Oreochromis niloticus: one gene and its partner. Each later gene encodes a partner of the first gene's protein in a complex. Links are inferred from orthologs where the notes say so. Each region holds a gene or a part of one and is shown on either strand. Other genes may lie near its edges.

What was found.
Region 2: ppp2cab (region 1) and programmed cell death protein 10 share a complex: the UniProt entries of both Homo sapiens proteins name them as parts of the core of STRIPAK complex. The link is inferred for Oreochromis niloticus from reciprocal best matches to the Homo sapiens genes PPP2CA and PDCD10.

The regions. Positions count from the first base shown.
Region 1 is NC_031975.2:22,852,722-22,860,737, forward strand, and holds the start of ppp2cab (serine/threonine-protein phosphatase 2A catalytic subunit alpha isoform), read right to left. Parts: upstream 3,023-8,016; 5' UTR 2,859-3,022; coding exon 2,757-2,858; intron 1-2,756. UniProt on the Homo sapiens protein: Catalytic subunit of protein phosphatase 2A (PP2A), a serine/threonine phosphatase involved in the regulation of a wide variety of enzymes, signal transduction pathways, and cellular events.
Region 2 is NC_031983.2:17,919,242-17,926,116, forward strand, and holds the start of programmed cell death protein 10, read right to left. Parts: upstream 3,027-6,875; 5' UTR 2,902-3,026; intron 1,432-2,901; 5' UTR 1,300-1,431; coding exon 1,210-1,299; intron 1-1,209. UniProt on the Homo sapiens protein: Promotes cell proliferation. Modulates apoptotic pathways. Increases mitogen-activated protein kinase activity and STK26 activity. Important for cell migration, and for normal structure and assembly of the Golgi complex.

The sequences.
Region 1 (8,016 bases):
TTTATATGCTCAGCTAAGCACTGACCACCACCACCACCTTCCCTCTAAGCCCTATGGAAAGGATCCAGTCCCTTTTTGGGATCCTGATACACAGTGTAATGAGCATTTAAAACTACTGGGACTCAAATGGAAACAAATGTTGGGATTAACGTTCCACTTGAGAATACCAGACCTTTAAACTTCAGCACACAGAACTCCAAACATGGTAGAGGGCCCAGTCTCTGTATCCTTTTAAAAGTCAAGGAGGGGGTGCAGAGCTGCAGCATAAAAAGAAAAACAGACTCTGAAAACTGTCCAAAAAGAAAAGAAAAGAAAAAGCCTCTTCTATCAGCGTAAAGCCTAACAGCAAATTTATCATATTCACTATACACGCTGTCAAGTTATGGTGTCAGTCACTTGACTTCTGACACATAAATCTAACAATCAGAGGACAGGGTGTCAATTCTCCAGCAGGGGGAAGCCTAAAAATGGACCATGACCCAAGGCAGCAACAATATATAGCACGCTTTGGGCAAGAGAGCTTTCTAGAAAACAGAAATCCTAGACAGATCAAGATCAGGATTAAAAAGCACAAAAAACAAATCCAAAAAACAAACAAAAAGAGTATTAATCAAAACAATCTGAGGAGAGAAAAGTGGTAAAATGTTTCAGAGTAAATGCTCCTTTACAACCAGACATCCAGAGCCGGAAATCAGCACAGAGCAGAGAGATTGGGGTTAAGCTCAGCTCAGACCACAAAATCAAATGGCCAGTTATCAACCAAAGCAGAAGCATATGGGCATAATGACACTCAAAACAAGTTAATTAAGGTTCCTTTAAAAAAAATTATAATAGTAAAGGAAGGAACAACCTTACACCAGCTTAAAGGTCAACTTCACACTGTGATGATAACATCAAAGGTCAACCAACGTCTGAGGGAAATTACCATTAAATCACTTTTCAGCTATTTTTAACTATCTCTATGTTTCCAAAGCTGAATGATGCAACGCAGTGATGCAAAAAATAGAGCAAAGGACTAAGGAACTCAAATGTGAAAACTACCATTCACGCCACACATCACTTTCATCCATTAGGTCATGTTAAAGTTTGAAAACTGCCCACATTATTGCCTCGAACAAGTCATCCTCTCCATTTATAGACATGAGTAAACAGAAGGTAGATAAAGGACTCAGTTTCCTGACTACCTGTGAGAGCTGCTGAGGGGGAAAAGTATCACACACACAATCAGCTGGCAGTTTATTAGGCACATCTAATTAAAAACTAACAAGATTATGACTTTGATGGTACAATGTTTGTGGAAATTGTCTTGATTGAAACTTGCAGTGTTTTAGGAGTTGCCGAATTGTTCCAAATTACAGGAGGTGTTTCTCTCATTTAGACTAGCCCTCATTCAGGGTGTTTCTTGGCTCAAAATTAAAGGATTTTTATTGTCATTCCAACATTTGGCCTGGCCTGGCCTGTATTTATATAGCGCCTTTCTGGTCCCTAAGGACCCCAAAGCGCTTTACATATCCAGTTATTCACCCATTCACGCACACATTCACACACTGGTGATGGCAAGCTACGTTGTAGCCACAGCCACCCTGGGGCACACTGACAGAGGCGAGGCTGCCGGACACTGGCGCGTGAAACAAAGTTTTGCACTCAGCAAACAAGAATGAGAACACCCAAGAACAATGCATACAGAAACAAGGAGCAGGAAATACATTTGCAGTGTAATTTAGCATAAATAAGAAGTGGTGGATAGTGCAGAGCCCAGTGGTTTCTCATGTTTGTTATCTTTGGCTGGGAGCAGCAGAGACTATAAAGCACATTTAGGGCACCGATGGGGCTTTGGCGACATAAACAAACTTTATTCATCCACATATAGTGAAGGTAAACAGACTGTGTTACCTTAATTAACAAGTCTGAGCAATTTGCTATTTTTTTTGTCATTGGATAACCAAAAATGTATTTTAAGCTCAACTAAACTAAGCCCCACTTAGAAATAACTTTTTATAATTACACCCCTGGTTATTTTCCTTTAATGGAGGGCCAAATTTCTTAAGTAGATGCCAACTTTCTTTCTTTTTTTTATTGCAGGAAAGAAAAACCTCCTCGTTGACATAAACTGACTGGCTGGATTTATTACTGGATTGATTGCCTTGATCACCATACCCTGTGCCAAGAGCTATACAGTAAGCTTTTCCTCACATTTTCATTGCTCGAAGTGGCTGCACCTAAACTGGATACAATCAACCTTAATAGGCTAAATAAAAGGACCCCAAAAGCCTGACTTTCTCACAAGAAATCAACTTTATCTCTTTCCATTTTGATGCCAGCTGGCCACATTTTTCCTTTACTGTTTTCTAACAGCTTCCATACATAAATATAAAGGGAAAAAATGAGGCAGAGCACTTCCACTCAGTAGCACGGCTAAAAGAGATGCTGCAGTCACTGTCAGTGTGAATGAGCAGGGCTGTAAATGTGGTATGTGACTTGAATTCAAAGCTTATGGGTCATCCTGCCTGCCCGATAAAGTACCAAGAAGCCCGAAAACTACCACATGTAATTTCTTATTTAGCGACATATCACGGTGTAAAGCTGTTTAAACAGAACAGAAGTCTGGGGCAACTCGTAATGATTGTCAAATCCATGTACAACGCAGTGAAATATACACTATAGACGCCATTTTAAGAATGTCTGGAAGGCGGCGGTGAGGAGGGAGAAGACGTTAGCAATAAGTTAAGGAAGGGAATTAAAAAATAAAATCTTACCTTTTCACATAGTGTTTTTACTTGTCCCTCGGACAGCTGCTTGCATTCATTGAGCTGCTCGATCCACTGATCCAGTTCTTTCGTAAACGCCTTTTCGTCCATTTCTGTGTGTTTTCGGGTTTGCTGCAGTTTGTCACGTTAGCTAATTCGGGTTAGGACTCTCCCAGAGGTTACCGTCTTTCGAGGGCTTACAAAACGGCCACAGCAGAAGCTAATCACTCTCTTACTAACAGGCGCATGTATCGCTAACTGCCAGATCACTGTGATGATTTGACTGAATTGAAACTGGGAGAGGGAGGGAGAGGTGACAGTTAAGGATCCACCCTTGTCGAGCCGCTGGCGAGCAAATAACAAACTTCCGGTTGCGCTTCGAAATAAAAGCTTCTTGGCGGACAAGTTCTGAAATACACCCTTACCTAAAAGAAAAAAATAATAATTATAACTTGCTAGGGTTAAACATAACAACAATGCAACTAGAAAAAAAAACTAGCATCTGGCAAATAATTTAAAAAAAAAAAGAGTTACGTTTTAATTGACCACCTTTTACAACTTTTCTACGTATGTAAATTTTAATTTTATGTAAACAGCTTTTGTAAACATGGTCTGAATAAACTAATTTCTGCCACACTCTGAAACTTACACAGTGACAAAGGTTGGTAAATATACATAAAATATTTCCCAGAATGTGGTCACGGTAGATGTTTGAGGATATATTATTTTTATTATGATGACGATGATGATTGTTATTATTATATGAAGATTGCGTCAGACTGTATATTGTTGAAAAATCTAATAATTTCCGGTCTAACACTGTGTGGTCTACCTTTACTAAAAACAGAGCGCCGCCCGACACAAATAGCAACCAGAGACCTATGACGGCTGCTCACTGATTGGTTCGCTGAGCTGCTTCCTATGCAGTTTCATTGGCTCGCCGTTTATTGGGGAAGTTACCGACACAAACTAAAGAGAATACGTCATGGCTCTGTGAAAGCATGCCGTGCATTTCTCGGCGTGGCTATGATGTCACTGTTTTATCTCCTTGTTGTCAAGGCCAAAAAAGTAAACAAAACAAAAGACAGCGTTGTCTTTTAACCACGCTGTCTTTAACAGGCTTACCTTCCACATCGTATCCATTCCTCTCAGTTTTCGGTTATGAATAAAGGTCGCTAGGCCCATTTAAAGGAGTTTATTGTTTGTGTACGGTATCAGCAAAACTGCCAAGTGATCTCACTCAGACTCAGTCCTAAAGCCAGTGACTTTCTAACAAAGACAACGATTAAAGATTCATTGATAATACATCTGTTCGTCACACATATGCACTCATGCTTCATCACTGTAATAAACATAATCAGAGTTAATCTTTCACAAAAAGTTCTCTCTTCACAGAAACACCAAGTTCACCTTTAAATAAGACTATTTCCAAACGGCTCGTGTCCAAATAGTGAATTGTTTAGGAGGCACTTGATAAAAACTACAGTTCCCAGGAGAATTTCTACATTGCCTACGTTCTGGCATGTCCCTTCGATAGCTCAGTTGGTAGAGCGGAGGACTGTAGGTGTATGATAACAGGAATCCTTAGGTCGCTGGTTCAATTCCGGCTCGAAGGAGGTTTTTGGGTGCTTTGAGTACTCCGGGAGAGCAGAAAAGCGCTAAATAAGAATCAGTCCATTTACCATTTATTATATGTGAATTAATCAGCACGGTCAAGCCTCTTCTGTTCTTTGAAATTATGTAAAAGGACTCAGTGATTGAGAGTGAGAGCAACAACTCAAGAAATATTTCGAATTAGAAAAATGGGGGGCGGGAATAAGCTTTAATTGTGAACATTGATCATCCCATATCAAGCAGTTTATTAGAATGTGGCAACAACCTTTTTGGGATAAATTTGCTGACACTTTCAGCAATGACCCTGCTGTCGATTCACAAGAACCTCCTGTATATGTATGGGAAATGTATATCAAACTATATTCTTTAAAAAGTTACTACACACTGTAAGTTTCTGACTGTGGCTTTAACAGTTTCAATTCAGCATACAACGTGTTGTTCTTCTTTAACTCTAAATATAGACCTATTATATCATACTGTTATGTGAAGTCCAAAGCAGGTCTTCTCTTGTATTGTGCAAAAATATAAAATAATGGAGACTTTACTAAACCAGGTCCCAGTTAATCCCAGTCTCAATTAAACTGGTAACATAATAAATCATATTTATTTTAGCTGGGGGCTCTGTGTGGGGCAGTGATCCCACATCTTTTCCAATCACCCAGAACAATATTTGTCAGTTTGTCTTTATTTTATTGTGTCTTTATATATATACATATATATATCACCCCCTACCCTAACCCTAATCTAGATCGATCTCTAATCCCTAAACCTAACCAAGGAAGGAAAATGGCAGATTAGCCTGGGTAAAAGACCGAAAGTTGAGGTACACAACGATGTGTGCTGCTGGCAAAGTTTCTGGGCTGCCTTTCCTCATAACAGCCATCCCTCAAGAGTCTCTCCATCTAAAGCATTATCAGGGACTGTAACATCTATTAAAGAAAAAAAACTATCCAAACCTACTTGGCACTGTGTAAAAAAGTAATTGCCCCCTAAATATAATAACTAGTTGTGCCACCCTTGGCAGTAAGAACTCCAAACAAGTGTTTTCGATAATTGATGCTTTCACTTTGTCTTTTCACTCTTTCACTTTGTCTCTACACTGTTTCACTTTGTCTCTTGACTCTTTCACTTTGTCTCTTCACTGTTTCACTTTGTCTCTTGACTCTTTCACTTTGTCTCTTCACTGTTTCACTTTGTCTTTTCACTCTTTCACTTTGTCTTTTCACTCTTTCACTTTGTCTCTTCGCTCTTTTACTTTGTGGTGGAAGAACTTTGACCCTCTCTTCTTTGTGAAATTATTTTAATTCAGTCACATTGGAGATGTTCCCAGCATGAATGATCTGTTTAGGGTCATGTCAAAGTATCTCAGTTGGATTAAATTTGTTAAAGTTTGAATGGGCCAAACCCTCATTTTGTTTGGATTTTTTTTTTTTCACAGTTGGACTTGGATGGTGTGTTTTGGATCAATGTTCTGCTCCAAAACTCAAGTGTTCTTGAGCTTCAGAAAAGGAACTGATGGCCGGATATTTTCCATCAGGATTTTCTGTTAGACAGCAAAATTCATGGTTCAATCAATTACAGCAAGTTGTCCTGGTCCCGAATCAGCAAAACAGCCCCAGACCATCACACTACCACCAACATGTTTGACTGTTGTTACGATCTTTCTATGAAATGTTGTGTTAGTTTTACACCAGTTTCAACAGGATTCAAACCTTCCACAAAGTTCAACTTTTCATCATCAGTCCACAAGACATTTTCCCAAAAGTCTTTGGGATCATTAAGATTTTTTATTTTTTTTTGGCAAATGTAAGATGAGCCTTTGTGGGGTTTTTTTTTTTTTTTATTCCTGGGATGGTTCATCACTGTTCCAGGTTTTCTCCATTGGTTTTGTAACCCTTTTCAGACTGATAAATGTCAATGACTTTGTTTCTCAGTTGTTTCTTGAGATTGTGATATGATCTGTTGCTTTTTGAGATCTTTTAGCCTATTTCACTTCGTCAGACAGGTTCTATTTAAGTGATTCTTGATTCAACATGTCTGGCAGCAATCAGGCTTACGTATCACTAATGAAATTGACGTCAGCTTTCCAAAAAATGTGGTTAATCACAACTAATTCATGATTTAACAATGGATAGCTCTTCTCCATAATAAATGTAATCATCACTTAAACGCTGAATGTTGTTTTCTTTCCCTAAGATTAAAATTTGTTTGATGATCTGAAAAATTAATAAATGTTTGACAAATATGTAAAAACAAAAACAAAAACAAATGCTTTTTCAGAACACTGTGTATCAGATCCATCCATCTTCTTCTGCTTATCTATGGGTCACGTGTACCAGAGCCAAACACCAGGGTACACCCTGGACAAGCTGCCGCAGAGAACACTTATAATCACACTGTGGCCAATTTACAATCACCAACCCTGGAAGCATGTCTTTGGACTGTGGGGGGCAGCTCAGCTGGCCAGTGGATACAAATCCAGGTGTCTTGTGCTAACCATCAAAATGATCCCTTTCCAGTTTCGACCTACAGTAGCTGTCTGTTTTGATACTAAAACTGTTGCCTTAAAGGATTTTCAGGACACAGTCATTTACAATTCTGCCTTCAAACTACCACAAGCTCAAGGCAAGCAAGTGCAGTTTTATTGCTATTCCATTATTTACTACATCTGTTGTATTGCTGCTCTGACTTAACTGTATAGTCGAATTGCTTGTGTCAGCAGGAGGCCACCAATACTCGAACAGAGGCATGAGACTTGTGCCAGAGACGTGTCAAGACTGTTGTGAGCAGAGGCTGACAGAGGTCATAGGGGTTACATCTAAAAGAATAACCATATACCATCCAGGAAAGCCAGTACGTGTCAGTCTTGGTGTAGCTCTAGATTTTCAGCAGACTTATGAAAGCTTGACACGAGCATATCCAGGCCCATTCAAAGGCAAATGCAGCCTTTACAACAAACAGAGGCCACACACGAAACAATAACACAGATCAAAGGCTGTATCTGCTCTTCCAACACACTGGCACATGTTCAAGTATGTCACGGCAATTAACAATTATCCTATCTTAAATCGTGAAGCTTTGCTGCTGTCGCACAACCATCAATTACTTTTTGAAGGAAAAACTACTTCTCAATTTTCTGAGTACTCTTATAACAATCAGACATGACATCAAGAAACTAAATAGCTTCAGACAGTGTATATTAATCATGGGCATTCCAGCGATTCCAGCAATGATCTTAAGTCTTAATGTTCAGCATCAGTGAGGGGAATGTTATCTCCCTGAAACTGAAATGAAATCACCATCTATTATTGTTAAGCTCTATTTGAGAGAAAGAAATGCACCAATACATCTATTTTCCTCATACAGTAATCACACAGTCCTACAGAGGATGTAATGACGCATCTGTCCCTCTGTTTTTTTTTTTATTAAAAAGCAGATTAAAATGTCCCTGGCAGTTTTTCCCCGCTCTCTGTTTTTCCTATTTGAGCCTCTCCTGCAACAGCAATTCATGTAATCAAGCAAATTTTGGAGAGCGCACTCCTCATAATTAGAAATTTCTGTTTGCAAGGTCACAATAGAAACAAGCAGTCATCTTCTGCTTTGCACAGAAAGGACACAAAAGCATCGGCTGCATCCTTGAAGTAAAATCTAACCA
Region 2 (6,875 bases), on another chromosome or scaffold:
GCAGAACTTGTGGTTCCCTCAATTATGGAAAATTATTCAGGTCCTGAAGCAGCTCAGACATGTTTGACTGTTGGTATGATTTTCTTTTATGAAATGCTGATGCAACAGGACTCAAACCTTCCAAAACTCTGGTAGACATGAGACAAACCTTTGTGTTCTTTTGGCCAACAGTGGTTTATATCTAGAAATTCTCCCATACCATACCATGCCATTTTTCTTATTGTTAAATCATGAAAAAAGGCCTTAACTGAGGCAAATCAGGGCTCCAGTCCTTTTCATGTTGTTCTGGGTTCATTTGACCTCCTGGATACATTGTTGATGTGCTTTTGGGGTATTTTTGGTAGGGTGCCCACTCCTGGGAAGGTTCACCACTGCTCCATGTTTTCTCCATTTGCGGATAAGGGTTCTCACTTTGATTTACTGGAGTCCTAAAGCCTCAGAAATTGCTTTATAATCCTTTCCAGACTGACATTTTTATCTCTTGACTTTCTTAAGATCATGGTATGACACGTTTTTTACGAGATCTTTTAGCCTACCTACCTCGCTTTGTCATTCTTGATTCACCAAGTAATCAGGTCTGGGTGTGGCTATTGACGTTCTACTCAGCTTTCCAAAAAATGTGGTTAATCAAAGTTGAGTCTCTCCCTTAATAAATGAAATCATCATTTAAAAACTGCATTTTGTATTTACTTTGGTTATCTTTTTCTAATATCTACATTTGTTTGTTGATGTGAAACATGTAACTGTATGTAATATGCAAAAACAAAACAAAACAAAAAAACAGGAAGTGGGCAAATACTTGTTCACAGCACTGTATATGCATCTTTGTTTCTGCTATGCAGATTCATTATTATAAATTTTCAAATGCGTTACTGGGTCTCTGGTTTCTCATACAGGCATGCTGATGCTAATAGCTTCCCTGGACATCTCCTGATGAGGGGATGTCCAGGCAAACTATCAGCACCTTTGTCCCCAGCATGTGATATTTTACCTCATGGGAATTTGCATAATTATGATTAAGGAACTGACCTCACAGCCCATTGTTCCTTCAGTGGGCTGGTTTCAGTCATTATGCAAATGTACTGTTTATAAGGTTTGGGGAAACCTGCAGTCAGCTGAGACTGAAGAAGTCACTTGGATGAGTGACGAAACGTTTCTCCCACAAAACGCTACGTCCAGATGAACAGATTCAACTTTTGGAGATTTTACCTCATTGAAAACTGGATACATCACGGCGTACAGCGTCATGGATACCATGGAGTTTGTCTCCGCTTCATTCTTCATCTCCTCCATTGTCATCCTCCAGGGAGGAGCAGCTCTGGTTGTAACAGTGAGGAAGAATCTGCAGCTCACATACACTCACACATGCACTCAACCAGTCACACTCACACACACACGCTCAAAACCACCCAAACTCCAGAGTATAGTAGCCTGAAGAAGAAAAATGTGAGACAGTAAAACAGTGTAAATGAAGAGACTGGATTTATAAAAATAGATCCACAACTAAAACTTCTCAACACCCTAACAAACATACGAAATAATAAATATAACTTATAAAATCACTATGACACATTCCTTATAACCTCTATTTGTACTTGGTATTTATGCACTGTAATGTCTAATTCATTAATGTCAGATATTTATTCTGCAATGCCGACTCAATACTGTTTAACTAGCATTTTCTATAATGTTCAGACAAAAGGAAAACCACACTGACCATATTATTAGTAGTTAATACTATTGACCAGTATTGAAGTCATTTCAAAAGCTTCCTATTAGTTCATAAAGCTCTCAATGGCTTGCCCCCCTCCCTATCTCTGACTCACTGTTAACCCAATCAAACCTCTCAGGTCATCAGGTGCAGATCTTTTAAATATTTCTCAAATCAGATCCAAGTTTGCCGAGTGGTCTTTCTGCTACTGTGCTCCTGTTCTTTGGAACAAGCTGCTCGCTGACTCAAAACCTTAGGTTTTCCCAAAAAGTTTTATTTTGCCGTTTTGACTGCCTTAAGAGACTGTCAAACCTACACAGGTTTTTAATGTTTCCATCATTTGTGTTAATCACGTTTACGCAAGAGGAAATGTGTTATATAAATAAAGCTGCCATTGCCATTCAAACACTGCTCTTTTGTGAGTCTGGAGAAGGGGAGTGGCACAGTTACCTGGCTGATGACAGCAAACCTTCAATGACCAAACATCAATGTGAAAATATGACAGTTGACGGAATAGAAGAGCTTATTACAAGCAAGACACCAACCCGTTTCATAATTGCATTGATTCATATCAAAATATGTAAAAGTCCAAAAGGAATGACAGGAATTACATTAACAACAAAAAAAAGTTTGGCGATGTAGATCAGACATTAGCCTCCTAAATACCATTTGGGGTATTCAGCTAGGCTAGCCAAATACTTCTCGATGTCATTAAGTTTACATTAAACAAATGTTTAGATTTTTTTCTCAGACATAAACTAGACTAACATTACTATTTTTCAACCAAACGCGATGGTAGCTGGCTAACCCAACCACTTAAGCAGCTTACTGGATGTATACAAGCCCAGGTATTTGAGACTCGGCTAACTGGACGTAGCTAACCCAGTAGATATAAAGTAGACGTTACATTGTGCTGGCTATTTTTCTTAAGACTGTTAAAATCAAGAGTCAGAACAAATGGGTAGGTATAGTATTATATTTATCGCGATCTACCCGTAAAAATATCAACCTGAGGCCTATGGCCGACCATATCGATGGTAGCGAACTGCTAGCAGTGAAGAGCCGAGCTTCCGTGCTAGCTCTGGTAATTTCTGGATTTATATTTTTTGAGATCCTAAAACACGCCAACCGGCTGGTTTAGGACAAATGTGTCATTACAGTATGTGTCAAAAATGTGAGCAGGTATCTACCTTTTGTCTGACTTCGTAAATGGGATGGTTACGCCGTCGATAGCCTTTTTAGCTGCTGTGTTTTCTCTACAACTTAAGGCGGAAGTTTTTTAGGACTGGCCCCAGCGACATCTTCCGGACCGTTGCTACGTAAACACACACCGTCCAATCAAAGAGCAGATAAATTAAGCGACTCTGACGTCATTTAAATAGTTACATTGTACACGTAGTAGAGTTTTGAGTTACTTTGCGGAAGTCTTGTCTTCTCATGATAAAAATATCACACGGGCGTTTCTCTCCTTCGGACTCAGTAAGTTCTCAGGGGAGTCCAGACTTCTGAGGACTGAGACAGCAGTATGGCAGCATCACAGCTCAGCTCAGCTCCACTGTGTCCTTCAGTTCCTTGTTGGGCTTAATTTCATTTTGACTAATGTTTACAATGCAATGCAGATGCACTGTGAGCAGGTTGGACAGGGTAAGAAATGAAACAGCTGAGGTTGAGCCTCTGAGGCCAAGTCAGAGAGGTAAGGCTGCTCTGAGGCCAAGTCAGAGAGGTAAGGCTGAGATGGTTTTGGACATGTGCAGAGGAGGGGGCAGTGGATATATTGTAGAATAGGTGTTGAATATGGAGCTGCCATGGAGCAGGTAAAGAGGAGGACCATAACAAAATTTCATAGTGAAGGCAAAGTGTTGGTATGAGAGAAAGGATCCTAGGGAGATGGTGAGATGGAGACAGACATTCAGCTGTGGTGGTGTGGTGCTTCCCAAGAATTTAAACACAATTTGATTTGGTAAATGTTGCTTTCAAAGTGGAAAAAGGCACCCAAACTATTTGCTTAAATTAAAGTTGTAAAACCACTGTAGTGCACAAGCGTAAATAAACAAGTGAATGTACTCATTATGTAGAATGACTGACAGAATCATACACACTGTGTTGTTGGACCATAATAATTGAATCAATGACAGGTGTTACTTAGATATTGCTCATAGCTGATTTATAATAATCCATTGAATCTACAAAATAATAAGTAACTGCAGCTTTAGCAAAGCAGACCTCAGGCCATCACACTACCAGTACCATGTCTTACTGTTGGTGTGATGTTTTTTGTTTTAAATTAAATCCTGTCCTATTTTTCACCAGATGTAACGGGACTTAAACCTTCCACAAAGTTCAACTTTGATCTCATCAGTCCACAGAATAATTTTCCAAAAGTATTGAGGATCACCAAGATAGGTTGTGTTGTAAATGTGTAAATGTCTTTTGGTCAGCAGTGCGTTTTACCTTGAAACTCTACCATACATGTCATGTTCCTCCCAGTCTCCTTATTATTATGTCATGAACTCTGACTTTAACTGAAGCAAGTGAGGCCTGCCGTCCTTTAGATGTTGTCCTGGGTTCTTTTGTGACCTCCTGGATGAGTCACTGATGCGTTCTTGGGGTTACTTTGGTAGGCTGGCCACTCCTGGGAAGATTTACCACTGTCCCAATTTGAGGATAACAGCTCTCATCATGGTTAACTGGAGTACCAAGGCCTTAGAAATGGCTTTTAATCCATTTTCAGACAGGTAGATGTAAATGACTTTGCTTCTCAGCTGTTTCTTTAGATCGTGGCATGATGTGTTGCTTTTTGAGATCTTTTAGTCTAATTTAGTGTCTTCTAATTAAGTGATTTCTTGATTTAAGAGGCCTGGCAGTAATCAGGCCTGGGTGAGGCTAGTGGAATTCAGCTTTCTAATCAAAGTTAATTCATGAGAGGTTTGTTGGGGGTTTCTTTTTTTTTTTTTACGTAGGCCCAAGTAGGTTTGGAAAGCTTTTTAAAACTAAGAAGTCAGAAAAGGTGGGAATATTTTTTCACAGCACTGTAACTTTTAAAATAAAACAAAAAATGAATGAAATAATACTTTTATAAACCTTTTTAAAAAATGTAAAATGTGTTCATAAAGACAAGTGAAATATCCTATTCAGAATATATGGACAGCACTTCAGACAATAAAGTCAAATAAAATAAAAAAGTTATGAAGCTTAACTTTAATCTCAGCCAATCCAGTTTGCCCAAGAACAAATAAAAATAAACTGAAATAAACCAAGATTATCTATTGCGTGTAACAAAAGTGAATTGTATCTAGTGTTTGGCCTCCACTGAGTGATGAGGGCTAGCCTGCAGCTTAATTGGTTTTCATGGTTGTCTTGTGATGTTAGTCAAAATTTCAACCAAAGAGTTTACTATGAAACAGTAATAATGAGTTTGAAGTAGTACCAAGATCTAAAAGTGGCCAATGGTATGCTGCCTCTGGAGTTGTAGATTATATGATTAATGCTGCAGATGGTCAGCCAGCTGCTTTTGGCTAGTTGGCACTATTCTAAGACTAAGCTGGTGTTTCCATCGTTCGCTACTACCTCTCAGTTAATAATTTGTTTGTGCACAGGAAACGAGTTTGTGTGACCTTTCGTCTCACTCTTCATTTACATAAACCTGCCAGGAGGGGGCCCCAAGAGATCTGTTTTTATGATTATTATATTTTTATGATTTAAGGCTATGCAAATATTTCTATCAGGAGACAGGGCCACTTAAAGTTTACCTTCTTGTGCATTAAAGTCCAGAAACAGTTTATTTACTTGGTGTGAATAAAGTGCCGATTATGTGGGCAGCTTTATTTTTCTTAACATTTAATAACGCTACCGTGGTCTCGCACACCATGGCTTTGCCCATTATTAGTCAAATTTAAAAAAAAAAAAAAAAACATTAAGTAAAAAGACATAGATGTTATAGATTATTTGAATGTAAAGTGACATATTATGATTGTTCATATGTATATTTACGTTTAGTTATCGGTGTTGGTTTTCCTCCCAGAGCTAGTGGCTGCTGTTTGCTTGTCATCCAAGGCTCTCCAGCAGTCAGCCAGCTGTTAGATGATTAGAGCTGCTCTCAGTCAATAAACCACTATTCTTCACTGGTCAGCTGCTGTTTTGGGGAACTGTGTGCTGCTACTCTAAGATGATATTTGCTAGAATTGTAAAAACACATACAGCTTACCAAAGTCTCTCAGGTCAGTTTGAATTGTACCTATTTTGACTGGATGTAATGAGCCCCATCTGTATTTGTGTGTTTATGTTCAGTTGCTACTTGTAATTATTGCTCGCTTCTTGCTGACGTTACTCTTGAAAAGGACATTGTCAATTTCAGTGACATTTACAGCAGGATAAATTAAAGGTAATATTATAAAACAGTTAAATTACCAACTTGTACATGTGTTGATTGGACAGTACTGAACTGGTTTTACTACAGAAATCATGCCATAAATATATTTTTGTGGAACTGCCACAGGAGAAGTGTTACAAAAGTCACATATAAAAAGACAGCCAACTAGAAAGCTGGGTGAGCTGCAACTGGTAACTTGTTTGCATTTTCAATGCATAACTTTAAGGCTTTTCAGCCATTATACTCGCATGCTTACAGATTCATTTTACTAATCTGATTACACACACTTTGTGAATGTACATTCGCTCAAGGTTAGTTTTGCGGAACCTTCAAGGGACCTCCAGAGAAAATTAAATAATGTTATTTCCCCAATCAGCATACAAATGCATACACATTTAGAACACTTGTAGATAATCAGTAACTTAAAATAAAGCTGCTGTGCAAATCTAGTGGGCCTTATGGAAATCATTTATCATAATTGCTTTTTGGTGTAACACACAGACTCAGCTGAGGGCAAAAAATGACATACTCTCATGAGAAACAGTCCCAGCTATAATATATAATACAGTCCAGCATCCCATTTGCAGAAGGAACAAAACACATAGTCCAAGGCTAGGGCCACTTTTGCCACAGGGTGGCTAGACACTAGCATGCTGACAAATTCCAACAGGTCCTCCCAGAACCACCACCCTGTGTCGAGTCGGCCAGCAACCACCCCAGGCTCAGCAGGCCAGCTCTGCCTTCAAGCTGCAGCATTTAACAGAGACTGGCCTGCACTGAGAATGAAAATGTGGA